Linked DNA regions of Oryzias latipes. The protein of the gene in region 1 purifies or fractionates together with the protein of each later gene. This does not show direct contact. Links are inferred from orthologs where the notes say so. Each region holds a gene or a part of one and is shown in the gene's direction. Other genes may lie near its edges.

Region 1 (3,650 bases):
CGGGCGCGGCGTTAACTTTGTTGGCAGCATAGTCGCAGAGCTCCAAATGGATCATGGCACATGGATTTCTATGATAAACTAAAGTAGGGAAGAGTGATACATCAGGGCCAGTATCGGTATGGACTGATTTTTACATAACTGATTGAGATTTTGTCAGAAGGAATCTACTGATATTCTTCAGACACTTTAGTTTGTGAAATGTGTACTTGTTCCTAATAGATTTGGACGCTTATGTTTACAGTCATAGTCAGTAATTGACTGTTTTCAGGTAAACGTTATTTTTATTTTGGACACATGTTGTTCCTAAAAGATCCCTGGCAACTGGGAGTCTACAGTTTACAGTTATGCCGAATATTCAATGAATGATCTGAATGCTTATAGATATATTTATAGTAAAGTGTTAAACTGATACTTGTTACTATGAGATCCTTTGCTGTATATTAAAAAGGTAAAATATAAGAAACAAAAAAGAAATCTAAACTTTGTGTTGCTGTAGACACTTAAGTATCAGTATCAGCAAATATCAGGTGAAATACTGGTATCTGTCCTAAACCTAAGTCTTATGGCATCACCATAAAGGGCAGCATTGATGAATGTAGCCATCTTGTAATGTGGATGGAGGCTTTCATAGCCAGCTTTATTCTCGAAAAAGCGTATTTTTCCTTTTGGATATTTAGACATTTTTCTTATTATTTTACACGTTTATTCTCATAGATTTTTGACTTTTTTTCTCATATATTAATGTATTTTTCTCTTGCATGGTGGCCCTAATACTCTGTTATACTTTTCTTTGGGAGATTTTTGCTTCCACTTTCATTTGAATTCAGTGTCTTGACATTTTCTCCAAGGGAAAAATCTGATCGCTCTTTTCGTATTTTTCCAGTATGAGTCAGATGAGCTGGAGAAGAGCGTGTATCAGGAATACGACAGCGACAGCGACGTCCCTGAGGAGCTCAAGCAGGATTATGTTGACGAGCAGACAGGTGACGCCCCTCTGAAGAGGTCAGTACTAACTCAAGCTGTCACAGAATGACATTTATTAAATTCGGGCCTTGTCAGATCATCTATGTTCAGAAGATACAGTGAGCATAGACGTATTTGTTAGATGACAGAGGTTTGTAATGGTCATCATGATACACTTCAGCTATGGGAGACAGATTGTAAAATAAAAAGTCCTGAAAATCAAATTGTTTGATTTTTAAAGAATTTATTAAGAGAACTAGGCAGAAATTAATTATTTGGCTTCTCGTCTTTTGAGTGGGCCAATTTGCAGAATCTTTCATTCATTCATCTTCTAAACCCGTTTTGTCCTTTTCGGAGTCACGAGGCTGCTGGAGCCTAACCCGGCCATTTGTGGGCTAAGGTCGCCAAAGGTCGTGGACAGGTCGCCAGTCTGTCGCAGGGCCACAAATCACACACCCAAATTCATACCTAACGGCAATTTAGAGTAACCAATTCACCTATGACGCATGTTTTTGTACGGAAGCTGGAGTTTTTGGAGAAAACCCACGCATGCACGGAGAGAACATGCAAACTCCACACAGAAAGGTCCCCTCGCAAGAGCGCTAACCACTGCGCTACCCTGTCAAATGAAGCTGGAGCTAGGGAATGCTAGCTTTAGGGTCTGACCGGCCCGGTTGAAGCGGCCTCGATCGCTGACGAGCTGTCTAGGGTGTATGCCGCCTTCGCCCAGCAGTAACAGGGCCAGCCAACAGCAACCCGCACGGCCCCACCGAGTTAAAAAACGGATGGAAGTTCAGGAAGAAAACGCTTGCATCAAGCAGCCACGTGTGATTTATTTTTCTACCCTTCGATGGAGTCACTGATAACGCCACGTGCCCAAATCTGAGTTTCTTGCCGTGCTGCGGCCGATGCCCAGATCACGCTGTAGAACCTTAGATCATGTCAGTACATTGAATTTACATCAAAACCTGACGCCCCTGATGCACAAAGTGTGTTTTGTGTTAATGCAGCATTAGTCAGACTCTTCATTTTTAACCCTTATGTGGTGTTCGGGTCTGTGGGACCCGTTTTCATTTTTTATCAAAAGAAAAATTATACAATTAATTAATTTTTCAAACTCAGACTCACTGGCCTTGGCTCATTTTCTGTGAAGAACATATATCAGAATACATTTTTAATGACCACACACCGTATACCCCCCCAACACATTTATATTACATATAAGATGTTCGGGTCCACTGGACCCAGGGCTAATAGAAGTGTGGGAATTGATGTTTTATGTACCTACACTCTGTCCTCCACCTGTCTGGGCCTGCTGTGTGTGTGTGGGTGTGTGTAAGTGTGTCTGTGTGTGTGTGACCAGTGAGAAAGAGAGAGAGAGAGTGGCAGAGAGAGAAATTTTCACTGTAAATGTGAGTTCTGTTTCTGCACCTGCGGTTCCCGCGCAAGGTTGCAACATTGTTAGAATAATTCAAGAATCAACTCTGTTTGCTCTCGTTCTCCCGCACATTTGACATTTAACCATTTGACTTTCTTGCGGGAATCTTTAATATTTCGCTCTTTATCTGCTACAAATTGGAGGCGGGACACGTTAAATATAGCTTTGCCAGTGTGGTTTCTTATCACAACTGATCAAAATGGCCAAAAAGCTTTCTGCGCAGAGGGCCCTGGAATTGATTTTAGAAGAGAGTGACGTTTTTGATGATGATGTAGAGGGAGACGATTCAGAAGAGGAGGTTTCAGAATTAGAGGATCACATTTCTGAAAATTCAGAGTCTGACAGTGACTCTGAAGAAGATGATTAGATTGGGGCGGCTGTGGAGCAGCGGTTGGGTGGTTGGCCCATGATCGTAAGATTGCAGGTTCAATTCCCGCCTTGCACGCCCATGAGTCGAAGTGTCCTTGGGCAAGACACTGAACCCCACCTTGCCTCTGGTGGTAGGCGGGCGCCTGTGTTTGGCAGCGGAGCCGCCACCAGTGTCTGAATGTGTGAGTGAATGTGTGTGACTGGGTGAATGGGTCTGTGATTGTAAAGGGTTTTGTCCTTGTTGGAAGAAAGGCGCTATATAAGTATACGCCATTTACCATTTACCATTTAGATTGAGCATCAGCCAGTTCCAAAACGAAGCCATCAGCACCCAGCCGTCAGCAGCCAGGACCATGTGTTGTATAGGCTAGTGGCTAGAAGGCCATGTGTTCAATGGGGCTGATGTGTTGTCTGGACTAATAGGTTTACTCTATGTGTTCAGCTTGTGTTGTGCACCTGAATGGGTTCAGTTTCTGTGTTCAAATAAATAAAAGTCAGTAGTTTTGAAAACCCTTGCTTCACTTGAAAATTTGTTTCCACTCATATCTTGACTTTAATTGATTTTCTTTATCACGTTTTAAATAATGAGTTATGAATGTGATCTAACAAAGGTAAAGGGCAAAAATTAACCAAATATACTGATTGTAAATGGATAAGGTAAACATCTGTCGAGTATTTTAACATCAAAGTGTTTGATTGTGAGGCATTAAAAACCACAACATGCAACGGGTCCACCAGACCCACGAACACTGGCTGAGTAACAACAATATGAACACCACACAAGGGTTAAATCCCATGGTTAAATACTACTAGTCATTCCTCCGACACACTTGATGCATCACCTTCCAGTCACTCTATATAACTTAGAGGTGATAATGAT
Region 2 (4,364 bases), on another chromosome or scaffold:
TGGAAATGGAGATGAAGGAGGAAGGGGTGGTAAAAGAATCAAAAAAATCAGAGGCTGGATTGACCTGCCCGTTGTCAGTGAAGAATTTACTGAGACTAGGGCTTGGCTGACACATTAGTGGAATGTTCTGCTTATGAGGGGTCGCTGTGTCCTCATTGGCTCCATCGCTTCCCATGCTAAAACTGGGGGATTTGATCAGGGTGGGTTTGAAGCCATCAGCCACCAGTGACTTAGGCTGTGCACTCTGGCTGAAGATTGTACACACCGGCACAGGCTGGTCTTTTGATTCTGTCTCCTGGGGTGACTGAGATTCTGGTTCCTCACATCCACTAACATACAAACTCTCATTGTCACTTTGCGGTGAAACAATGTCTTTGGATTCCTCTGGTGTATTCATCTGCTCTGTTGGGCCCTCTTCTGAACATATGTTGTTCTGCTGCTCCACAAAAATCTTTGTATCAGTTGTCCCCTGTATCATCTCAGCCTCTTTCCCTTCATCCTTTTCAGTTGCTCTCTCATCTTCCCCTCTATCCAGAAATGAGTCGATGGGAGCCACATCCTCTTCCTCGCTGTTGTTAGGTGAATCAGAAATCATGACGCTTTCCATCATTTGGTCGTTCAACCTGTCCATCAGGCTCTCTGAGGGGGTGGCGCTGCTGTCCTCGTGGGGTGTCGCAAACTCTGCTCCTCCCAGATCAATGCTGTCCTCCAGGGCCAGAATGTTGTCCTTGAAGGGGGCCAAGCTGCCGGGTGCTGCCGGCTCTGAAGATGAGGCTGCAGGGTCGGCATCGTCTGTGATGTCCAACGTGTCAGGCCTCTGGGAAGGAGCTTCCCTTGCATCCATCTTACTGTTCCTAAAAGGTTAAACACATCAGAAATCACCAGGTGAGTTCAACCAGTCATGATGATGTACAAAACCCAAATTGTGACTACTTCCTGTCACCTCCGCTTGTTCGGAGACACTAATTATATTCAAAGTACTTCATTTGCGCTTAAAGTAATCTCAATAAGTCTCCATTTAAGGTAGACAGATCTGTCTGATGCTGTGTATGTTGCTGCGTACTAGCCGTTTGGCTACCGGAAGCTCATCAATCGGCTAAGCTCCAGCTCTCGAGGTCCGTTCGGGTTCTACCACGGACAGCAGAATAGATGTATAACATTTTCAGAAAGCAAAAACGTACAAACGTGTCAAAACAATGTTAAAAAATGCCCCAAAAGAGACAATTACGATCATGCTTCCTACCTTACTATCGACTGACAGATAGGCTTACAGTGCGCATGCGTCACCCGAGGAAATCCTTAGTAAGGTTCCCTAGAAAGGACAAACTTAGTGAACAGGACTGCTTTGACATTCCCGAAACCACCATACGTAAAAAGAGCAGAGAGCTCGAGCTCTTAAAACCGTAGTGACGTATGTTCACGTTACGCTTGAATCTTTAGTTACGCATCACTTCGCGGAAGTGCTGCTGTTTTTAATGAGAAGCACGGGGTGGAAATAAAGCATTTTAGCAGCTTTTTTATTCTCGGTGAAAAAGTGTTTTTGTTGCAACAGCAAACTGAAGGATGGAAGACGACGCCCCTGTCATTTACGGGCTGGAATTTCAGGTAAACATACCCACTAAACCATCATTCATTACTATTCGGACCAAGAAACTATTCTATTCTATTCTATTCTATTCTATTCTATTCTATTCTATTCTATTCTATTCTATTCTATTCTATTGTCGTTTTTCCTCCTGTTACAGGCGCGTGCGCTGACAGCCCAAACAGCTGAGACTGATGCCATTCGGTTTCTGGTGGGAACCCAGTCCCTAAAGTTTGATAACCAGGTGAGCAGCACTCAGCAGGTGTCCTTCAGATTATAACGCTGCTTCCTGTCAGGCTTGTCTCTTTTAAATGGACAGTTTTATGGGACATGCACTTGTGGGACAAGCACCAGTCCAGAGCAGTCTGGAGGTTTCACCCATGATGAAAAATTTTCCAAATCTTAACTGGTGATGTGAAACATGCTGCAGACTCACTGACTTGTTTGGCGGTACACCTGTTTGGCGGTACACCTGTTTGGCGGTACACCTGTTTGGCGGTACACCTGTGGGCTCTGCTGCAGTGGTCAGTGGGCGTTTTTCTACTACTAGAAAGTTTGTTTGCCACCATTGCCTGATGTAAGCAGATTTATTTGGCTGGGAGGAATTGGTACAGTAACCAAAACACAAACTTCCTTTCTACAAGTTATATGTGGTGAGGACTTCTTAGTTTTAATTTTCTTACTTAATAAAAAGTCAGATTTTCCGTCTTGCACAGATCTCAGAGATTCAAAGATGTGAGTTTTACGACAGAAGATCAGATCGATAGAATGTATTTAACAAATCCAATCCAGATGTCAAAAGTTTACCGTCTGAGTAGTAGTTAGAATGAGAATTTCACTCCAACGGCACTGTTTTCTTTAAGCTTGCTGTTCTTTATTTGAAATGGACAGAATTTAAGGATTGAGTTAGGTTGTCAGATATGTAGTTTTTTCAGTTGTTTCTAGCTTTCAGTGTTTAGAGAATTCAACTATCCTGTCCTTATATCCATTTTAAAGTTGCCTCTCACCACAAAACCTTGATCTTTCTGTTTGTGTCTGAAAATATAGTTGTGGTGGTCCTACTTTTTTTTCTCCACAAAATAGAATAAAAACATTTTATATTTTTTCCTCCTTGTATTTATCAATTTTAATATTTTACTGGTTTCATATTTTTCCCTCCTTTACAGATCCCTTCACGTGTATTCAACATTCTGATACGCTTCTTGTTATCAAACCTGATATTAATATTTAGTTTGATATCCTAGCCATTGTTGGCACCCCATTTCAATCTAGGTTTTAGCGGTTCTCCAAAGTCCCATTCCAATCATCGTTTGATTCATTTTCAAAATGTTCCCAGTTGTCTTTTTATGATGATGATGCCATCTTTAGCCAGGATAAAAAAAAAAAACTGTCGTTTTCTAGGACATAGTTTCTGCAGAGTGCCAGGAGTTCATTAGAAATTCACTTCTGAGTTGTGGGCTGTACTTTTGCCGCGGAGTAAGCCAGCCCTTATTTCCCATCATTCCTTTGTTTACACTTTGACCCACTAGCTTACAGCCCCTCACACCCCCAACCTAACAAAATGCAGTATCGCAGCTCACCAGCCGCACAGTTTGGATCCAGATTCTTGGCCTCTCCAACGTGAATCAGAAGGTCGCTGCAGAGTTTTGGACCAGCTGCAGCAAAAGTGTGGTCCCCTCTAAGTTTGTACGGTACTTTTAGAAGCAGCTGATCTAAGAGGTCAGGAGGAGACATAAGGCTGCATCAGCTCAGAGAGGTAAACCAGTGCCGAGGCATGGAAGGATTCAAAAACCAATAAACGAATTCTAAAAGGAACAATGTCAATCATGGATGATTGAAGCTGAAACGGGGGACATGTGACCATATTTTCACCTCCTAGTTAGGAGACGAGCAAAGCTGCATTTTGCACTGATGCACTAAAACACATTTTGCTTGGTGTGTATTACTATCATCATTTCCCAATTTGTATAGTTAATCCAACAATTATTTAATGGATAATGGACACCACAAACGGTATTATCCTGCTTATACCATGGTCATTTATGAAAGAAACAAATATTAAATAAAATAATAGTGCTTTAATCCAGTTGTTTTTTTTAACCTTTGAATCATTTTCACAAGATGTGGACCAATTGTTATGCAGTTGTCATGGTAACGGCTACCGAGCCTTCATGATAGTTGATCCAAAGCATCATTTCAGAGAGAAGGTTTACCTTTTTATTCCTTGTTTTTGTCCAGATGATGAAGCAAAAGTTTGTTTCAAAGAAACAAAGTCCACAAGTATTTTCCTAGATCACCTTTATTCACTCTTAACTCTGACCATTAAATCACTCATAGATCCTCAATACTGTATCAAGCACCAAGGTAAGCAATACAGAAAGACAATAAGAGAGGACCACATGCAACAAACTGTTTAAAATGAAAGGCAACATTGCCATTGATGGTAATTAATTCTGACACGTCCATCATAGAGACATTTGAAGGACACAGATCTCTTCTACTGTCTTCCTGTTGTAATAAACTGTAGAATAACATCTGTCCACCTATCTTCCAATCTTCAGCCCGGTTCAATAATATAAAACATTCAGGCTTGTATGACCTGAATTTCCTTTTTTGGTGCCCATTATCTTTCTAATTGAGACTCTGCAGCCAATCAGAATTGAGTATTCACCTGGACCATGGTAGAACAAATGTCAATTGTTTGTTCAGATGTCCTCATTCATATATTGCTGCAAATCCACCAAAAATCCTTTTCTCACAGCAGTTGATCATGTTTGCA
Region 3 (4,215 bases), about 6.8 Mb from region 1:
TGGTTGCAAATCAAGACATTCGAATTACAGCCATTTTTCTTGTTGTATCCCCAAAACACTGTTGCTTAAATCAAACACTCATTTACAAACAACTTAGAGAATTCATTGCCGCCTTACCTCCTCCTCCGTTAGCTCTCCAGCTCTCTTGTTGAGGTCAATGTCAGCCTTCCTCAGGACAACATGGGCGTAACGTCTGCCAACACCCTGTAACCAGATAGACAATAACGTTTACTTTTTTGTATTTTCTGCAGATACATGAATAGTCCCACAATCAGATTACCTTGATGGCGGTGATGGCGAAGGCGATTTTCCTCCTACCATCGATGTTCGTGTTGAGTACACGAAGAATATGCTGGAATTTCTCGGGGATTACCAGAGACTATTAACAAAAAACAAAAACAAAAGTTGAACATGTGAGATCCTTCAAATGATCCTCATTCTGTACCAACATCAGAGAAATTTATAAGTGATGCTCTACTATAACTGAAACTATGCATACACAAAACATTCTAATGGCTCAATATTGCTTGGTAGCATAAAAAACACTTGTACCTTACAGTAATTTGATCAGATACTTTTGTATGGTTCTGTATGTATGGTAAGCTAATACATGAGCTTGAAGACACAAGTTGCCTAAACGGTGGCTTTGCAGGGCCAAAACAAAGCAGTTGTTAAACACAAAGGGAACAGTGTTTGTATTATCTTGTACAGATCACATTAGCTAGAAAATATCATGCAATCCCAACACCTAGTATCACGGCTAAATTAGCCTACAAACATGATCGCACAAGCAGTTTCAATTAAGAAAAAACTCGCAACCAAATTGGGGAGACAGTTTAAAAATACTTAGGTTGTATTGGAAATGTTGCGAGTATTTAAAACTTTAATTTGAGCAACATCAGAATTTTAACATAGGAAATGCTAGCCGGTTAGAGTCCGTCGGCGCTCACATTTTCAATCGCTTTTCCTACAAAACATCTTCATGATTGTGTAGCCAATATTCTATTCTATAGCTTCGCTGTCGAATAAATGTTTGAAAACACCGATGATTTAAGGACAGAATTTGCGAATAAAGCTGGATTACTCTAGATTTCAAGACTGTTTCACAGTGCCAGAAAATGTTTCATACCATCTTGGATGTCGGTTCCGTGCAAAGAGGAAGTCGTGGAGTTCTCGCGAGAGGTTGAGGTGGTTGGAAACGGAAGTTGGTCCGCGGTGTTTAACTTGTCCGGCAGGGACTTGATTGTTTTTTTAAAATAAAAAATATGGACACGAAAATGATTCACTTTGATCAAATAGACTTCATAAAAATAAAAGTTCTTGCCTATTTGCCTGATAGATTTATATGTGACATTTCTTTTTATCATGCCTAAAAAAATGCTGCAGTAACTAACTGGGTGGAACGTTTTTTTTCCTTTATCTACACAATTTGCCAATATGGCGGCGGAAGCGGCAGCAAACATAGGAGCGATATCGGATGTAAACACATCAGGAAATCCAACAGAAATAGCAATGTCGTATCTCCAAAACGAGGTGACATTTACTGATTTTAGAAGTCTAGTGTCTGTCTGTGTGGGGGGGGGGGGATATTTGTCTGATTGCCCTGTTAGCATATTTGGAAACTAATTGAATTGTTGGCAGACAAGTCAAGAACTGTCTAATTCCTTAAAACGTATTTGCAGAGTACAACATTTCAGATAAACGTGTGATATAAAAGGTCAATTTGAACCAGTCTGGATCTGTTGTTTTAAGTCTACCCTCTCTTCTTGTTTGCCGCAATGAACAATTTCCTGAATACGTAGCATCACTAGTCTCTGATCACGTCCATTAAGGCTTAGTTGTTGTCAAACAAAACTGACTTTCTCTTTCAGTCAGTTTTTATTCATAGTTTGTTTGTTAAGCAGGGGTCTACGTCTCATCAGGATGTATATATATTTTTTTATTACTTTGTGTCTTTTTCTCAGAAGACTGATGGAGACTTCCCAACTCTTAACCTTGGGGAGTTGGATCTCACCACAGACGAGTTCATCTTAGATGAAGTCGACGGTAAGAAACAACTGCTACAATTCTACAGGTGTAACGAATAATCGATGAATAGATTTGTATTTCAAGGATCAAACCAGATTGATCAGCCTGAGGAAGGAATGCAATTAAAAAATCGTTGCGAAATTAGATGAATCAGTAATCAAATTGAAATGGGAACATATGGACTGAGACAGGGTAGGTTTAATCTACTATAACATGACCAAGTGCATTACAGCGTACAATACACACGTGTGATAGCATCCAAATATAATAAATCCATCATTCCAGTCCAATGTGTGGAAACACTTTGAACTGATCAAAGACATACAGTGTGCTAGAATGTTCTAATAATGTTTGGATTATGTTGATGTGGAAAAATAACAGTGGGCTGAACTTTAGGAAACTAAAAATGTCAATAGATTTAGCATTAATTCTTAATATTTATTCTACAGTAGATTATGTTGCAAAAAATAAAATGAATGTGGAAAACTTTCCCTGAACTGTTCCGGACCCAAATATTTATCTCTGAGTCACACTGGTGGAATTTTTGGGTAAAGATGCTCTGGATTTATTTTAGGTCAATGAACCAAAATGGAATCTTAACCACAGATATTGAATCACTGTTAAAATGAATTGTTACTCCCCTGTTATATTCTTTGAACTTATAGTCAAAGTGGAATGCAGAATCCGTCATTGCTTTTCAGTGTCACTGTTTGAAAACTGTTTTTTTGTAATAAATCAGTGGTTTTTTTCTGTTTTTCAGTTCATATTCAGGCCAATCTGGAGGATGATCTTGTGAAGGAGGCGCTCAAAACGGTAAAACATGGAGCTCAGTTGTTTAAGACAACCAATTCATTCATGTGTCATACGAGGAATAGATTTTTTTAAACTAAATGTATCAAAGAGCAGATTTTCTCCACGTCCAGACATTAGCCTCTGTTAACAATTATTTATTAGTATTTTTATCTCTCCAGGCTTTGACACTCAGTTTATTTCAAGCAACAGCTTTAAATCATCCGAACAATGAGATCCTTTTGTTGTTCTTTGAAAATCTCTAGAAGTAAAGGTTTATTTTGCCTTTTTAGTTTACTTTAAACCTCAATACCTCTTAATAGAAGAACAACAATGGCTGTGATGAATTTAGTTAGTCATATGAATGTTGTGTTTAATGTTAAACTGCTGACTTTCTGTCTGCCGGTCAATTGTCCTTCGTTTTAGGGGGTTGATCTGCGTCAGTATTCCAAACAAGTGGAGACGGAGCTGCAGAGGATTGAGCAGGCATCTATTAAAGACTGTATCCTTCAATATTTGTTAAAAAATGACCTGAAATGAGAACACGCCAAACTATTATTCTGCTAGTTTTCTTCTTTCTTTAACTTTGCTGAATTAATATACAGCTAATTTCTTTTTTAAATCTGGTATTACAGATGGCTTTGTGTGTTTTTGATTGGTTTCAATATCTTATAAACATAGATCAGAATAAAGACGGAGTGTCGATCGAACTTTTTGTAACCGGTAACATTTAATTTTTTGTCTTTTTAGGGAAAACTTAAATAGGAAATCTAAGTTTATATATACATTTTTAATCCATTGCAGTATGAAAGGTTTAATCCATTAAAATGAAAAGATGAAGCCAGTAAATGTTTCACAAAGGTTTTATTTATGGAAATGTTCTGTACAGTTTTCCTGATTATCTGTCTTCCAGACATTAAGGAGAGTCAGAACATTGCTCTCCTGCATAACCAGATCACTGCCTGTGACTCCATACTGGAGGTAAGAAAAGATCTCAGACCTGCTGCTGTCTTTGAGAAAACTGCTCCCGGACACTCGATGCAAGCTTTGGTTTAGCTTAACAAACTGGATATGTGTGAGAAGAAGATTATGAATGCAAAAAAAAAACAACATTTCTTTTGCTTCTCAAATGTTCCAGGTAGATATATTAATAGGAACAATTAAACAACAACTATAGTTGTGGCTTCTAGAAATGAGTAAAGGACAGAAAGATTCACTCATTCATTTGTAAATCTATTTAAGGTACATCTACACACAGTTTTATTCATAATTATGGTTATTTATTTTAACCATTTTATACTTTTTTATTTTAATCTTAGCTCTCTAATGAAGAAAGAAACCTATCCAAACTCTGACATAGAAGTAAATTTGACAAATTATAGGTTTTAACTCTAAAGC

Evidence for each region. Proteins that work in one complex are often made in the same cells at the same time.
Region 2: the proteins of vps50 (region 1) and eipr1 purify together in Homo sapiens (affinity purification with mass spectrometry; 4 studies listed by BioGRID and IntAct, counting the BioPlex papers as one, with this or other methods). This does not show direct contact. The link is inferred for Oryzias latipes from reciprocal best matches to the Homo sapiens genes VPS50 and EIPR1.
Region 3: the proteins of vps50 (region 1) and vps52 purify together in Homo sapiens (affinity purification with mass spectrometry; 4 studies listed by BioGRID and IntAct, counting the BioPlex papers as one, with this or other methods). This does not show direct contact. The link is inferred for Oryzias latipes from reciprocal best matches to the Homo sapiens genes VPS50 and VPS52.

What each region holds. Positions count from the first base shown.
Region 1 is NC_019869.2:10,068,540-10,072,189, forward strand, and holds part of vps50 (syndetin), read left to right. Parts: intron 1-883; coding exon 884-1,002; intron 1,003-3,650.
Region 2 is NC_019880.2:20,755,518-20,759,881, reverse strand, and holds the start of eipr1 (EARP-interacting protein), read left to right. Parts: upstream 1-1,428; 5' UTR 1,429-1,563; coding exon 1,564-1,605; intron 1,606-1,745; coding exon 1,746-1,829; intron 1,830-4,364. Other genes in the region: trappc12 (trafficking protein particle complex subunit 12), read right to left, coding at 1-844. UniProt on the Homo sapiens protein: Acts as a component of endosomal retrieval machinery that is involved in protein transport from early endosomes to either recycling endosomes or the trans-Golgi network.
Region 3 is NC_019869.2:3,226,536-3,230,750, reverse strand, and holds the start of vps52 (vacuolar protein sorting-associated protein 52 homolog), read left to right. Parts: upstream 1-1,279; 5' UTR 1,280-1,437; coding exon 1,438-1,533; intron 1,534-1,964; coding exon 1,965-2,046; intron 2,047-2,788; coding exon 2,789-2,841; intron 2,842-3,243; coding exon 3,244-3,319; intron 3,320-3,730; coding exon 3,731-3,798; intron 3,799-4,215. Other genes in the region: rps18 (40S ribosomal protein S18), read right to left, coding at 118-204, 281-379, 1,130-1,132. UniProt on the Homo sapiens protein: Acts as a component of the GARP complex that is involved in retrograde transport from early and late endosomes to the trans-Golgi network (TGN).